3 linked regions of the Arabidopsis thaliana genome follow. The protein of the gene in region 1 interacts with the protein of each later gene in a pairwise test. Each region holds a gene or a part of one and is shown in the gene's direction. Other genes may lie near its edges.

Evidence for each region.
Region 2: the proteins of AXR3 (region 1) and AT1G68670 interact in binary tests that used the Arabidopsis thaliana proteins (3 or more experiments, as listed by UniProt).
Region 3: the proteins of AXR3 (region 1) and CSN5B interact in binary tests that used the Arabidopsis thaliana proteins (3 or more experiments, as listed by UniProt).

What each region holds. Positions count from the first base shown.
Region 1 is NC_003070.9:1,133,820-1,139,747, forward strand, and holds AXR3 (AUX/IAA transcriptional regulator family protein), read left to right. Parts: upstream 1-2,258; 5' UTR 2,259-2,562; coding exon 2,563-2,801; intron 2,802-3,114; coding exon 3,115-3,326; intron 3,327-3,640; coding exon 3,641-3,779; intron 3,780-3,920; coding exon 3,921-3,982; intron 3,983-4,483; coding exon 4,484-4,521; 3' UTR 4,522-4,844; downstream 4,845-5,928. UniProt on the Arabidopsis thaliana protein: Aux/IAA proteins are short-lived transcriptional factors that function as repressors of early auxin response genes at low auxin concentrations.
Region 2 is NC_003070.9:25,780,118-25,785,115, forward strand, and holds AT1G68670 (myb-like transcription factor family protein), read left to right. Parts: upstream 1-1,683; 5' UTR 1,684-2,226; coding exon 2,227-2,359; intron 2,360-2,447; coding exon 2,448-2,716; intron 2,717-2,795; coding exon 2,796-3,111; intron 3,112-3,306; coding exon 3,307-3,383; intron 3,384-3,486; coding exon 3,487-3,756; 3' UTR 3,757-4,001; downstream 4,002-4,998. UniProt on the Arabidopsis thaliana protein: Probable transcription factor involved in phosphate homeostasis.
Region 3 is NC_003070.9:26,850,502-26,855,416, forward strand, and holds CSN5B (COP9-signalosome 5B), read left to right. Parts: upstream 1-1,904; 5' UTR 1,905-2,058; coding exon 2,059-2,448; intron 2,449-2,558; coding exon 2,559-2,840; intron 2,841-2,911; coding exon 2,912-3,059; intron 3,060-3,163; coding exon 3,164-3,249; intron 3,250-3,491; coding exon 3,492-3,569; intron 3,570-3,661; coding exon 3,662-3,754; 3' UTR 3,755-3,918; downstream 3,919-4,915. Other genes in the region: EBS1 (EMS-MUTAGENIZED BRI1 SUPPRESSOR 1), read left to right, coding at 1-94, 181-321, 401-444, 517-631, 808-960, 1,035-1,229; AT1G71235 (uncharacterized protein), read left to right, coding at 4,058-4,304, 4,522-4,721. UniProt on the Arabidopsis thaliana protein: Probable protease subunit of the COP9 signalosome complex (CSN), a complex involved in various cellular and developmental processes such as photomorphogenesis and auxin and jasmonate responses.

The sequences.
Region 1 (5,928 bases):
ATGCATGCAGCAATGCATGTCATTTGGCTGCATTCCTTAAATGCGAGAAGTATATTCCAACAACTAATGTAAATGAGAAAACTATAAAAAAAAAATTGAAGATGGACACAAATGAACCAGTACTATTGATTTATTTTTCTGTGTGGTAGAATGTTGAGAGTTGTGGCCTTGTATTGTCCACATGAAAGTACACCTGGTCCTCACACGTTCTTATCTTGCAAGTTCATAATTAACACACATATATACCTTTGAAAATAACTCATTAATTTCGACACCATGCATATAAAATACATGATTAGACCTATATATAATTTTCCCAAAAAATGAAAAATATATATAATCAAGTGAAAAAGCATTACCAAAATTACACATCAAATTAAGATGGTCTCTATCGTGTGACAAAGAAAATGTGGTCTCCATATGTATCCTTGAGAATACTGATGATATATGGATTTGGTTGCATTGGTTCAATCTCATTAAAGTTTCGCATACAATCCATTTATGTGTGCGGGCGCATTTTTTTGTAATCATGTAGGCTGGACCGAGAATTTATATTATTCACTGGTTTACAATTTCATGTGAATTCCATAGTGATCAGTAGATATATATATTGATCAGACAAAGTAGATACACATTGATAAAACACGACAAAATGATGTGATATATAAGACAAAGTGACCCAAAATTCGATTGAAAAATTTGGGGTACGTTGATTTGAAAACTCATGAGAGTTTTTTGGGATAGAAACAAAAGGAGAGAAAAGGGTTAAAGAGGAGGATGTAGACAAGGCAAGGAACAAAAGTAGGGTTTAAGATGTTTTCGCCCCTGAATTTTATTTGATGTAACTTGTCCCTTTATCATCTCCATGTTTTTCTTCTTCTCATTAATTTAAATTTTGGCTTTGGAATTTATGGTGATGTTAATTGTACCCTCTCTTCCTTTGGATTTTGATGCCACTCATGTCCCCTCTCATAGATTTTATTAGGGTAGGAATATGCCTTTTTCCCTCTTTATTTTCATATTTATTGAATTTACGTTGGTTAATTATGGTTAGTACGCTTGGTGTTATTTAAACGTCCCGTATTCACAGTTTACGCCTAACTGATTACTTTGAACTAAAACCAGTGTCTAGTAGATCACTAAAGTCGAATTTTGAACGAAAGTTTGAAAATTCGCAAAAGCGCCGTGAAAATACAATTCCAAAACATATCATTTTTGTTTTTGGAAGCGTGATTGATGAAATAAAAACAAAATATGTTTTGGAAGTGCGACAGAATTTGTTTTTTTGTTTAGAAATGCGATAATATAGACAAATTAATAGAAAATGTAATACAAATTTAGGTGCTTTCATAACTACAAAAAAAAAAAAAAACTACCCTATTGTTGAAAACTTTCATACTACAAGAATAACACAAGCAATATAAAAGAAGAAAAATAATTTTCAATAATCAAAAACAGACATTATATTTTAGTAGTCAATTTAATCTGTAAATATCTGTAAAGAAAATTAATCACCAATTTTATTGTTAACTACAAAGTGGTGTTTATAATATTGCAATTTATAGTTTGTTAACTACAAAGTATAAACATTAAAGAGTAATGATGCGTTTTTATGTGTCTAGATACACATTTCGCTGTACGTGTTTATAGGTGAGTTTTTAATCAATAAATATTGAAGATGTACCGTATGCTTTATTTTGTATTGGCATGAGAATAATTATATACAAGAGGGCTGCGCTTTTATTGTGGGATGAATAATTGAATCATGTGGATGTGATATGCATAATTGGAAGGTTCCGGCGAAGAATCTTACGGGGAAAAATAATCAAAATCATGAATATATATTCATTAGTTAATAATTATATTTAGAAGTCAAAAAGCATAATATAGTTATATTAATAATAATGTACATCTCTATTGTAACACTCTCATATGAGATGTCTGCGACCTCGCCACTCAAAAGAATATATATTTATAAACTATACGTTGATATAGTTTTTAAGACCATATGGTATATACATATATTTAGTTAGATACCCCATATCAATTAATCGGTTCATCACCACTTAATTCACTTGGTTGCTTCGAATGTGTTTCATAATTCACTTGTAATTTTAAAATCTTTCCTTCACTTGTGCTTTCGCTTGTAATCTCAAAATGTTATATATCTCTTTTAACGGGAGAAAAACGATTAAAGACGGATTAAAATATATATCCATTTTGTATAGTCAAATGCAATAATATATACATAATCTACAAGATAAATCATAAGAAAGATTCAATAACAGTAATAGAGTAATAACAGTGATTACTGATTAGTCTAAAAGACTAAAACTCGAGGATGATGACTTAATCAAAGGGCTTAGATTCATCCACGTGTCTAAAACCCGTTTAATCAAAGATCTCTTAAATACGACATACACATGCAGCTACCTCCTAGACAGAGATATAATACAGACTCATCTCACTTTGTATTATTTGAGTGTTTTTATAAAACCATTTTTCCATCTTCCTCATCACCTTCCCAAGAAGAAGAACACCAAAGAAGAAGAAAGGTTAATAATGATGGGCAGTGTCGAGCTGAATCTGAGGGAGACTGAGCTGTGTCTTGGTCTTCCCGGTGGAGATACAGTGGCTCCGGTAACCGGAAACAAGAGAGGGTTCTCAGAGACGGTTGATCTGAAGCTAAATCTGAATAATGAGCCTGCAAACAAGGAAGGATCTACGACTCATGACGTCGTGACTTTTGATTCCAAGGAGAAGAGTGCTTGTCCTAAAGATCCAGCCAAACCTCCGGCCAAGTAATTTTACTATTTTGTCCTTTATGATTTATTTTCCACTCTTCTCTACTGCTCTTAATATTAACATTTTTGTAAAGGTGACTGCAAAAAAAAACAGAAATTTCATTAAAGATATATATTTTTCTTCGCCAAAACCATTTTATCATATGTCTACGGTTTTTTTCTCTTCTTAAATCGTCCAATGTCTTAATATATTTAATTATGTTTAACCCATAGTCTCATGCAAGTAAAATTTATGTGACATCACGTCAAAGCTAACTACAGTCTATATCTTGTATAACATAACCGTTTTTCCGTTTTAAAAAAAATATAGGGCACAAGTTGTGGGATGGCCACCGGTGAGATCATACCGGAAGAACGTGATGGTTTCCTGCCAAAAATCAAGCGGTGGCCCGGAGGCGGCGGCGTTCGTGAAGGTATCAATGGACGGAGCACCGTACTTGAGGAAAATCGATTTGAGGATGTATAAAAGCTACGATGAGCTTTCTAATGCTTTGTCCAACATGTTCAGCTCTTTTACCATGGGTACGTTTTATAAGTATATTCCTTATATATATATGTAGATCCTTCCATGCACATTTAGTTACTAATTAATTGTTACTATAGAAAGAAAAATTAATCATCATGATGATAGATCAGTCCCAAATGAATTACCGTTATCGAGTATACAAATATTTCATAATTGAGTAACCCGTTAGTAGTAGTTTAGAAACTGTGAAAAGAAAACTATGTGATAAAATCCAATTGCGAAAAATGTATATTTCATTTGTTGCACCATAAAAGAAAACCACCAAGTTTAAATTCAGGATATCAAGTTCTTATACCTAAGATTATTTTAGGCAAACATGGAGGAGAAGAAGGAATGATAGACTTCATGAATGAGAGGAAATTGATGGATTTGGTGAATAGCTGGGACTATGTTCCCTCTTATGAAGACAAAGACGGTGATTGGATGCTCGTCGGCGACGTTCCTTGGCCGTACGTCTTCTTCTTCTCCCTTATTAATTACCATTTAATTAGAGCTTTATTGTTTCGGTTAAAATTCGAGCTTTATTTTTGTTTATGTCATTTATTTGTTTCTAATAAATAACCATTTGTTTTAATCTTTTTATTTATTAGAATGTTCGTCGATACATGCAAGCGTTTACGTCTCATGAAAGGATCGGATGCCATTGGTCTCGGTATGTATTTTCTACCAATGCATATTATATTCACATTGATTAAATTTTGATTTCAGTTTGTTACCCATTTAAATTAAAATTTACGTGTATATGTATACAATATAGTTAAAATAGCTTACAAAAGAGATTTGCCCCAAAAAGAAAAAAAAAACTTACAAAAGAGCTTAAAAGTTTACTATAATGTACACCTCAACCGCATAACTTGGTCGCCTAAATAATTTAATATGCTATCGTTTAAGATGATGTCTAATCATCAAACGCTTAAACCGTTCATTATTTTTCGCACAATTATATTTCTACCGTAAAGAACAAATTTGTCGAAAGAAAACTTATCGCTTTGATCTTTTAAATCATTGATATAATACATGATATTTGATTCTCTTTTGTCAAATGCAAAAAAAGAAAGAGATTAAATAACAGAGGGAATAAAAAATATACTCTTTTAACAGAATAAATACCGTGGTCAAATGTCTTTGCTTATTAATTGTAAAAATATTTCAGCTCCGAGGGCGATGGAGAAGTGCAAGAGCAGAGCTTGAAGTCAAATTAAAAGGATAAGTGGTATCGATTATATATTTGATTAACACATTGATTGGTGTTAATTGCTCTTTTTTTTCTTACGATGAAATACATTGTTCAGTTTCTTTTGATTGTCTGTGTTTTGATCTGGATTTGGTATGTAGATATAGTTTGTATGCTATTATGTGTAATGAACTTAAGTTAAATATTTGAGACATTTGTAATGGAAAATGTGTAATAATTTGAACATCCTATTCCTATGTATATGTTTGTCTTTATTTATTTATTTTGCCAAAGATGTGTATATTCGTATAAGGAATATGTGATTTTTATTCCACTATGGAAAATTTAATCTCACATTACTTCTCTTTAATTTCAGTCTCTTAATAGTCAGTTATTTTCTAAAGGCAGAACAGTATTCTTTTGGTTCGTCTTGAAAGTGAAACTAAAGATCATAGCGATCGAGTATTTGACCCTAAAGTAAACTTTCCCCAAGTATAATTTCGAAGTCGGTATAATTAGAATTACAATATTACAATATACATATGTTATATCAGATGAATATAATTACAAAAATGGGGAAAATTCACTTTGTTGGTATATTGATTTGTTGGTACTTAAAGTGATAATTGGCTTTGGTTGGAGGAAATAAAATAGAGAAATAGGACCCATAGGGAAGAGAGGGAGCAATGCCATGTGCATATTCATGGGTCTCTTCATTTCATTACCTTTGTTTATCATTTAATTTCCCATTAAATTAATTAGGAATATTAACTTTTATACCAACTAAATTTATTAACAAGGTTATCATAATTATACACAAATATCCTCTCTATAATGAAAAATGAAAAACCACTAGAAATATGGAATTACGTTGTATCCTTTATCACTTTCAGAAATGAGCTACAAGTAATTTATTATTGTCAAGAGATTGCACATGTGTAAAACTTGAAGGTAAAAGACATATATATGCAATAAAATATAGATATATATATATATATATATCGATGACATAATAGATATAGTATAATAACATATAGGGCCCTTTTGGATTAATGGTGTTTACTGGTTATAATGGAGCTATTCTAAGCAGTCCTTATTTAATTTGATGTTTAACGTTAAAAAAAAGTTTAAGAATAAAATATATAGATAAAATAAAGAAAACTGAGAATGTAAATATTGATAAATGGGGAAGCACATGGAGAAGATGTTGAATCCCAAAACGAACAAATCGAAGTTTTAGGAAAGTATCGTTCCAACGTACATGCATGCATATATATAGAAAATATGTGTACTAATGTATGTGTAAACACAAACATTGTACAATTAGTTACGTTGAAATGTTTTAAATTTCAGTATCTTAATATTTGTCTTCATTTCTTGGATCAGGCAGAAGCATGTTCGATGTTTGATGGGGTCAATAATTA
Region 2 (4,998 bases), about 25 Mb from region 1:
TAACAATTGTAAACTATAAAATAAAAATATTTTATAGATAGATACAATTTGCAAACTTTTATGTATACTAACTTTAAAAAATAAATTATTTCTGCGGTGTACCGCGGGTTAAAATCTAGTGAGTTTTTAAAATAGAATCAAGTGTAAATATAGATAAATAATATATTTTAATGATGAGGTTCTTACATTTGAAGAAACTTAGTTCAATTGACTCTTAGTTAAGAAACAATTGGACTAAGTTTCTTCAAATTTAAGAAACCAAACTAATATTTAAACAATATAATATTTTTATTATATATCAAGAATTTTGTTTAGAAACTCCCATTGAAAAAACTCTTAACTTCCATGTTCTTGGTAGTTTCCCTTGGACTCAGAGTCATATGTTTTATTTTTGTGCATTGCCAATTGACAATTATTGCATTAACTGATTAACCGTCTCTTTTTAGCTCTAATTGACACTCTTAACTTTGTTGTTTAATTGTGGCTATGCAATAGCTATTATGAAGAGAACTCCAATACATGTGTTGGAGTCTTGGAGATCTTACTTGCATCTTCAAACATTCATAATACTACAACTTAGACATTGTTTGTTTTCTTTTCCCATGGAAACAAATTTTATCATGTGCTAATAATAAAGGTAAGAATTGATGGAGCCAATCTCGTTTAAATCTATATGTCCCACACCTCCCACATAAAGACCAAACATGTATTAGCTCCATCAGATTGAGACAACAAAGTTCTATGTGTAGATTTAGATGTTTTTTCTTAAAACAGATTTGATTAAGAACATGTGGAATGAATCTGATATTTGCCTATTATGATGATGATTAAAGCAATAAGCATGTTGTAACTTTCCATCTACAAGAAAACAGTTGATCATTTCAATCGACCTTCAAATAGTTTCATCAATCATACATAAGTAGACCCATAAAATAAAATTTTGATGATCCTAATGGTGATTATTGTGAATGAAATTAGTCCAAAATCTTGCTGTATCTAAAAAACACAAAAATACTATTATCATATTCATATGCATTAACTCATCCTATCAAGGAATCGAACCACCAAAGAACCGTTTGTTTTTCTTAAAAAGATAACGACGAAACCAATAAGATAAATGAATATGACAAAAGCAGAGAATCTGGTTGCATCAATTGAATATTTGGTCACGTGGGTACGCGCTCTATGCGCGTGAACATTTAGCAAATTGGCTCTTGAGGAATATGAAAGGTCGGATATGTAAATAATTAATACGCGGCGTGGGCAAATGTGATTCTCACACTTCCTTCCAAAAGATTCTTCTTTCTATTTTTTTTTTTTTTTTTCCTCCCCTAGAATATTCCTTCACCAAATTAGCTCATTTCCAATTCAAATTTTAATATTCGTTCTAAATATCTGTAAAAACGTAGTCGAGTGGTAGGTTACATAAATTGTGAATGATTAACGTTTGGAGTTGGAATTAAGATATCACTAATGATATGATTTATTGTCATTGAAAGTTTTAAACATAATTTTTCCTTATGAGATAGTAGTAGTATTTTAATTTATTTAATGAAACGCATATTTGTTAGGTGAACGTCAATTTTTATGATTTTTGGAAAAGACGCATAATAAAAACCAAATCTTTAAATTTGAAATTCTAAATCATAAAATCTCCATTTAATGAATAGATTTGCCCATATAGAAACACAGAAAATCATTTCTATTAGATGATAGTTAAGTTAAATGAAGGATAAAACAATCGTTGGAAAACAAAACTCTGGAATCTTAATTAGGGGAGAAGAAAAATGGTTGAGTTTTCGTTCTTATCTGAAAAAAAAAAGCTAAAGAGATTGGAATAGTGACGTCAGTTCCAGCCCATACAAAGAGATGCGAACCTATAATCGAATCTGATCCTCCGAATATTCACCCATCATCTTCACGATATTACTATTTTACCCTTCTCTTCCAAAAGAGAAAAAAACATTTTAACTCTCAAAGATTCGTTTTAGGTACGCGACGGCCCGACCTCGATTCTCTTCCACTTCTTTCTTGTTCCAAAAACCTAAACCCTCTCTCTCTCTCTCTCTCTCTCTATCTCTTGAAAAATCAACAAAACATTGGAATCAATTTCTCTATGTTTTGATTCTATTTTAAAGATCCAATATTCTTTCTCCATTGAGATTAAGCTTCTTTCTCGCTGTCGTCTCTCTATAGATCTTGGTTCTTAGTCCCTTTTGAATAATAATGATGGTGGAGATGGATTACGCTAAGAAAATGCAGAAATGTCATGAATACGTTGAAGCACTTGAAGAAGAACAGAAGAAAATCCAAGTCTTTCAACGCGAGCTTCCTTTATGTTTAGAGCTTGTCACTCAAGGTAATAATAATCCAATCAAAATCTCCAATTTTTAAACAAGTCTCTTACAAATCTTGATGGGGTTTTGTTATGTTTTGTTTCTGTATAGCGATCGAAGCTTGTCGGAAGGAGTTATCTGGTACGACGACAACTACATCAGAACAGTGTTCAGAACAGACCACAAGTGTTTGTGGTGGTCCTGTCTTTGAAGAGTTTATTCCTATCAAGAAAATTAGTTCCTTGTGTGAAGAAGTACAAGAAGAAGAAGAAGAAGATGGTGAACATGAATCTTCTCCAGAACTTGTGAATAATAAGAAATCAGATTGGCTTAGATCTGTTCAGCTATGGAATCATTCACCGGATCTAAATCCAAAAGAGGTATTTAAAGTTTTGAGCTTTTTAAAGGAGTTTTAGTTTTCGATTATGAGGAAATAATCATGTGTTAATTGAATTATAGGAGCGTGTAGCTAAGAAAGCGAAAGTGGTGGAGGTGAAACCAAAAAGCGGTGCGTTTCAGCCGTTTCAAAAGCGCGTTTTGGAGACTGATTTGCAACCGGCGGTGAAAGTAGCTAGTTCGATGCCAGCGACGACGACGAGTTCTACGACGGAAACTTGTGGTGGTAAAAGTGATTTGATTAAAGCTGGAGATGAGGAAAGACGGATAGAGCAGCAGCAATCGCAGTCGCATACGCATAGAAAACAAAGGCGGTGCTGGTCGCCGGAATTACACCGTCGATTCCTAAACGCGCTTCAGCAGCTTGGAGGATCTCATGGTAATTACGATTAATTTTAATTACCTGATTATCTTCTATCTGATTGGTTCATTAGTGATTCATAATCGGGTTGATAAAGAACTGTTTTTAAACATTAAAACGTCTCAACATTTACATTATATTAGTAAGTAACAAAGATTATTATCAACATTAAAAAATGATTTTTATTTGACATTTTATTTGCCAATCTTGCAGTTGCTACACCAAAGCAAATCAGGGATCACATGAAGGTTGATGGATTAACAAACGACGAAGTTAAAAGCCATTTACAGGTTAGTGATTAATGATTCTTATGTTATAATCACAAGTTCGTGAAATTGGTAATTAAATGAAATGTTACTCAAGTTCTTAACCATTTTTTGTGTAATATTTCAGAAATATAGACTTCACACAAGAAGGCCAGCAGCAACATCCGTGGCGGCACAAAGTACCGGGAATCAGCAACAACCACAATTTGTGGTGGTTGGAGGCATATGGGTACCATCGTCACAAGATTTTCCACCACCGTCCGATGTAGCCAACAAGGGTGGTGTATATGCTCCGGTTGCGGTGGCGCAATCTCCAAAACGTTCGTTGGAGAGAAGTTGCAACTCGCCGGCGGCATCTTCCTCTACAAATACAAATACTTCTACTCCTGTGTCATAATCTGATAGTCATACTATAATCATCTCCTGATGTTGATTTTGGTGTAGGTTTGAAAATGTTTATGTGAATGTAAGAAATATTTTCGTCCGTTTTTGTTTGTAACCAAGAAATGTTATTTCCTCGGTTGGAAATTTTGAATAAAGTAGACGAATGCTACTATGTAGTATATACACGAGATAAGTGAAGACTCTTTGTTTTTCTAACTTTGGATATTTACTAAAATATCTTCTTGTTTTTGGTGTCTAATTTAGACAGATCTTCGTGATGAATCTGATGGCAAAGGTTATAATTCATCACCTTCGTAAATAGTAAAATACAAAGGTAGATAAGAGAATCTAAGATGAATTGAGAATAACGTGCGTGAATGGTGATGTAGATATTTGGTGTGACAATTAGAAGTGATTTATTTATGGTAACGCTTGCTTAAAACAAAGGTCCATGAATCGACCAACTAACCATTCACAGAATTGAATACCAAATCTATCTTTTTGCATGGCAATTTATTAAAATAAATCTAACGTGGCCGCCTCTGAATCTTGCTTAATAGAATAGTAACCACTAACCATAATCAAATCATTAATTTAGATTTTTTATTTTTTGTCGGCCAATTTAGATTATAGTATCTTTTTTTTTTTCCTTCACATATCTTACGGTAATTGACTCGAACCGGAATTTCTTTAGAAAATTCAAAACCAGTTTAATAATCGGGTTCATGGAGAATAAAAAGGTCATGTTCTGATTTTTATAATAAGTCCTTGTTGACTAAGTCCTTGTTGAATAAGTCTTCCTAGATTATAGGAAAGTGGACGATTAAATTTGTATTATGTTTTGATTTTATATGTTATAGAATTTCAGGTCGATAAAAATTGTGACATTTGCATTGTGTCTAGGGTCTTTCGGGTTTTTTTTTTTTTTTTTTTTAACTTGATTTGTAGGGAGGATAATCTTGGGTCTATACAAGCAAGACGAATTCTTACGTAATTTTGTTTCTTTGTTTTGAATAAAACTGGATAAATCGTGACTAGGGGCTGGAGATCAATAAATCGTGACTTCCCTCCAACTGATACGGATTCTACAACTATTTGAATTTTATAAGGAATTTCAATAACTTGTTCACTTTTTAAATATACAATAGTTTTGTACAACTAGTAAAAAATATTCATATTTCCATTATAATCATTTATCATTCCATTCTGCTTTTTTTTTTGGGTTCTCAATTCTGCCATTCCACCATGTTTCTTA
Region 3 (4,915 bases), about 26 Mb from region 1:
GTCCTGGTTGCATAAACAGAAAGAAAAGCAACGAATTATTTGGGCCTACAAAATTCTTTTCCTTGATGTCATATTTCCTCTCTCATTGGAAAAGGTACAGATGATCATATTTTCATTTCTTTCTTGCGATTTTGATGCTTGGAAGATGTCACTATAAGGTATTCGACATGTGTTCTGTAGGTTATATTTGTCGACGCAGATCAAATTATAAGGACAGACATGGGAGAACTGTATGATATGGATATTAAAGGAAGACCTCTCGCGTATACTCCTTTTTGTGACAACAACAGGGAAATGGATGGCTATAAATTTTGGAAACAGGTAAACATTAATCTTTTTGTTTTGCTTGTAGAGGTAGTTTTGGTTTCCATACTCTTACATTCTCAATTGCTTTGAACAGGGTTTCTGGAAAGAACATTTACGTGGTAGGCCATACCATATCAGGTAAAAAAACCTACTTGAACCTCAGTAAGTTGTTGCTTTTCCCATTCTTAATGTGCCTTGTTCTATCTGTAGTGCTCTATACGTTGTTGACTTGGTTAAGTTCCGAGAGACAGCGGCAGGAGATAATCTAAGAGTATTCTATGAGACGCTTAGCAAGGATCCAAACAGTTTGTCCAACCTAGATCAGGCAAGTTGTATAATATGGTTCTCTATACTTAGGGCTGTAACCTTTCTTTGGTGGTCACACTATCGTTTTACTTTATTTGAAAGGCTTTTGCATTTGACTCTTACCATACACCATGCTCTGAATCTTTAGAGTTCCAGGTTCAAACATATTGATGGCATGTCATTATTTTGTTTCAGGATCTTCCTAATTATGCTCAGCATACTGTTCCTATATTTTCACTTCCCCAAGAGTGGTTGTGGTGTGAATCCTGGTGTGGAAACGCCACAAAAGCCAAGGCCAGAACAATCGATCTTTGCAATAATCCCATGACAAAGGAACCAAAGCTTCAGGTAAAATGATGGCTTTCCTCATATCTACAACACTCACAAAGCGTTGTTTGTTATAATGCGGTGTTCTTCTGCAGGGTGCCCGAAGAATCGTAACCGAATGGCCCGATCTTGATCTCGAAGCACGAAAATTCACAGCAAAAATCTTGGGTGAAGATGTGGAACTCAACGAGCCAGTAGCTGCTCCTGCTACAGACAAGCCTAATCCTCTTCCATCAAATGACATCTCTGAAGATACAGAACAAGACTTGGAATCTAAAGCAGAACTGTAAATTCAATGCTCCTGAAGTTTCAAAAGAGGAGAAGATAAATTAGACAATCATGGCTATTTTGCATTTGCTAGATAAGGTTTCTAGTTTTGTAGCTACAGTTTCTTAGACATCTCTCACATAAATTAGACAGAAGATAAAGTCAACAGATTGCAGGAGAATAAGAATATCAGTATAATATGATTTTGAATCAATTACAAACATAGTCACTCATAACGTATTTGTAAACTCGTCCGTCCAAAATCTCAAATCAAACCAAACCGACAAACCAGTAAAAAAACCGAACCGGAAAACTGACGTGTCAGTGTCTGTATAAAAAGCAATACGTGTTCTTTTAGCAAAGGGTCTGACACTCTGATAGAAAAGCTGAAGTAATTCAATAAATTATTTTAGAAGAGGGAAGAAATCTACGGTTTTACAAGGGGACGTTATTTATTAATGGATTTTAATAGAAAGAAATCCAACACTAATACACTGTTATTTAATTAATGATTTTAAATTCAATTTTAAAATTTAGTGTTATTGGAGTTTATATCTTTGTAAATCATGTTTAATAGATTTTAAAATTTTGTGTTATTCAATTAAAAGATTTTAATACCGTCAAAAAAAAAAAAAAAAAAACAAACTAAAAGGATTTTAAATTTTATTTCTAAATTAGAGAAGAATCCAGAGGAATTAATTTTCACCACTTTTCTCTTCTTATATATAAGTCAATCCCCGAAGTAACATTTTTGACACAGTTTTCAATTCTTCAGCAGACAGATCGATCACACTCCATCGATTCCGTATGAAACCCTAGATTTCTGCAACTGAATTCCTAATTCGAAAAAGAATGGAGGGTTCGTCGTCGACGATAGCAAGGAAGACATGGGAACTAGAGAACAGCATTCTAACAGTAGACTCACCTGATTCAACCTCCGACAACATCTTCTACTACGACGATACTTCACAGACTAGGTTCCAGCAAGAGAAACCGTGGGAGAATGATCCTCACTACTTTAAACGAGTCAAGATCTCAGCGCTCGCTCTTCTTAAGATGGTGGTTCACGCTCGCTCTGGTGGTACAATTGAAATAATGGGTCTTATGCAAGGTAAGACCGATGGTGATACTATCATTGTTATGGATGCTTTTGCTTTACCAGTGGAAGGTACTGAGACAAGGGTTAATGCTCAGGATGATGCTTATGAGTACATGGTTGAGTATTCACAGACCAACAAGCTCGTAAGTGAGATTCAAGAAACTTCAAAGTTTTGATTTTTTTCTTTAGAAAGTTTGTATATAAGTCAGAACAGTTTGATTGATTATGGTTATAATAACTTGACCTTTATAAGGCGGGGCGGCTGGAGAATGTTGTTGGATGGTATCACTCTCACCCTGGATATGGATGCTGGCTCTCCGGTATTGATGTTTCTACGCAGAGGCTTAACCAACAGCATCAGGAGCCATTTTTAGCTGTTGTTATTGATCCCACAAGGACTGTTTCAGCTGGTAAGGTTGAGATTGGTGCTTTCAGAACATACTCTAAAGGATATAAGCCTCCAGATGAACCTGTTTCTGAGTATCAAACTATTCCTTTAAATAAGATTGAGGACTTTGGTGTTCACTGCAAACAGGTACATTTTCTTGATTTTTCTCGGTGCAAGGTCCCAACATGATTCTTATGTTTGGCTTTTGGTTTTGGCAGTACTATTCATTAGATGTCACTTATTTCAAGTCATCTCTTGATTCTCACCTTCTGGATCTACTATGGAACAAGTACTGGGTGAACACTCTTTCTTCTTCTCCACTGCTGGGTAATGGAGACTATGTTGCTGGACAAATATCAGACTTAGGTAAACTCTTGGATATGGCCTAAATCATTCACTCTTACTTTTTTTTCTCAAGTCACAGTCAAGTAATGTGTTATATAATCGTTTTCGTAATTTTACCAATGAAGCTGAGAAGCTTGAGCAAGCCGAGAGTCATCTGGTTCAGTCTCGCTTTGGAGGAGTTGTGCCATCATCCCTTCATAAGAAAAAAGAGGTATGTCCTAGTGGTTCATCAAATTTTAATTGCGATTACGGTGGCTAGTTAAGTGCCTCTGTAAACATCTAGCTACTAAGAGGATATATCTTCAAATGTTTTGGTTATTGGGACCTGGAGGTGTTCTGTTTAGTTGAAATGAAAGTGTTGTTGAAGGTTGTACAGATATATAACTTTCGAGAATGTTAATGGGTGTTGCTTGTTAAAGATCTCATTTGACGTGTGTTCTAAATCACTTTCAGGATGAGTCTCAACTAACTAAGATAACTCGGGATAGCGCAAAGATAACTGTGGAACAGGTCCATGGACTAATGTCGCAGGTGAGTAATAATATTGAAACGAAATGGTGACATATCTCCCTTAAGGTTCGTGTATTTCACAGACTCAAAATCCATCATTGTTGTACTTGTAGGTCATAAAAGATGAATTATTCAACTCAATGCGTCAGTCCAACAACAAATCTCCCACTGACTCGTCGGATCCAGACCCTATGATTACATATTGAAGTTGCTCTTCTTTTGGTTTCTAGTTTTGGATTGACCCATCATTTGTTGTCCTTTCATTTATTTTCTGTTGTGTAAAGAATTATAATGCTAATGAGAATAATACAGAAGAAGATTTTGGTTAAAGAAATGTTTTTAAGCCCATTCGATTCGTCGGGGTTAAAGGAATAATCTTAAGCCCTTAAACAAAAATTGTATTTATGGAAATCAGAAACCTAGTGATCTTTTCCAACTCTATCCCCTCTCTCTTTCCTTCTCTGCACTCACGTTGTCCGTGAATAGGTGGTACTAAAACATGGCTAACAATGGCAATCATCTTTCTCTGTCTTTGTTTGTTGATGAAAAGTGTTCCTTATGGGACTGTCGACGACGACGCCCACAAGGAGCTATGTACTGCCAACCTGACCATCTTCAACAAGCTTATCAAGAACGCACTTCACACAACATGGCAAACTTATACACTTGAAGACGTAGTATTGCGGAGAATCTTAGAAAGCCTTAGTTATCCGGAGCTTCGTGGAAGTCCGGGGATACCAAACCTTCAAGAAAACAGTCAGTTATTGTCTATAGCTCCGCACGGATATGTTTCCTACAAATTTGACATGTAGCGAGAAACATAGCATATGGCTGTTTCTCGCGCTGTTCGTGCCCGACCAAGGGGTTTGGAAACTGGTTAAAGAACGGCATCGAAGGAACTATGTACGTGATAAATTTATACCACGTTTTGCTATGAACAATGGTTCAACATGGGAGCTATATAGGTTTACAGTGAAAAGTGACTCTGTAGCCTTTTTCACTATGGAATATCGCAAACCCTTGCTTCTTGGGGTGGAGGATCTCAGCCTTTTTGATGATGATGTTGATGATGATTCGCATTCGAATAAGAGGAAAACTCCACCTTGTTCTGAGAGCAAGAGAACTGACAAAAGATCTTCATATGGACATGTTTCCGAGTATTCCTCTAAATAAGATTATGGACCTTAATTTGATGTTTACCTTTTATTTTCTGTTGTGTGACACAAATTTGTAGGCAAATGGGAATGAATTAAATTGGAATAATACAGAAAAAATTGTGTTAAGGAATCGTCGACATGGTTTGATATTTATTTGAGAATAAAGACACAAAAGATGAAACTAGAAAGCAATAATTTAGTAAGACCAAC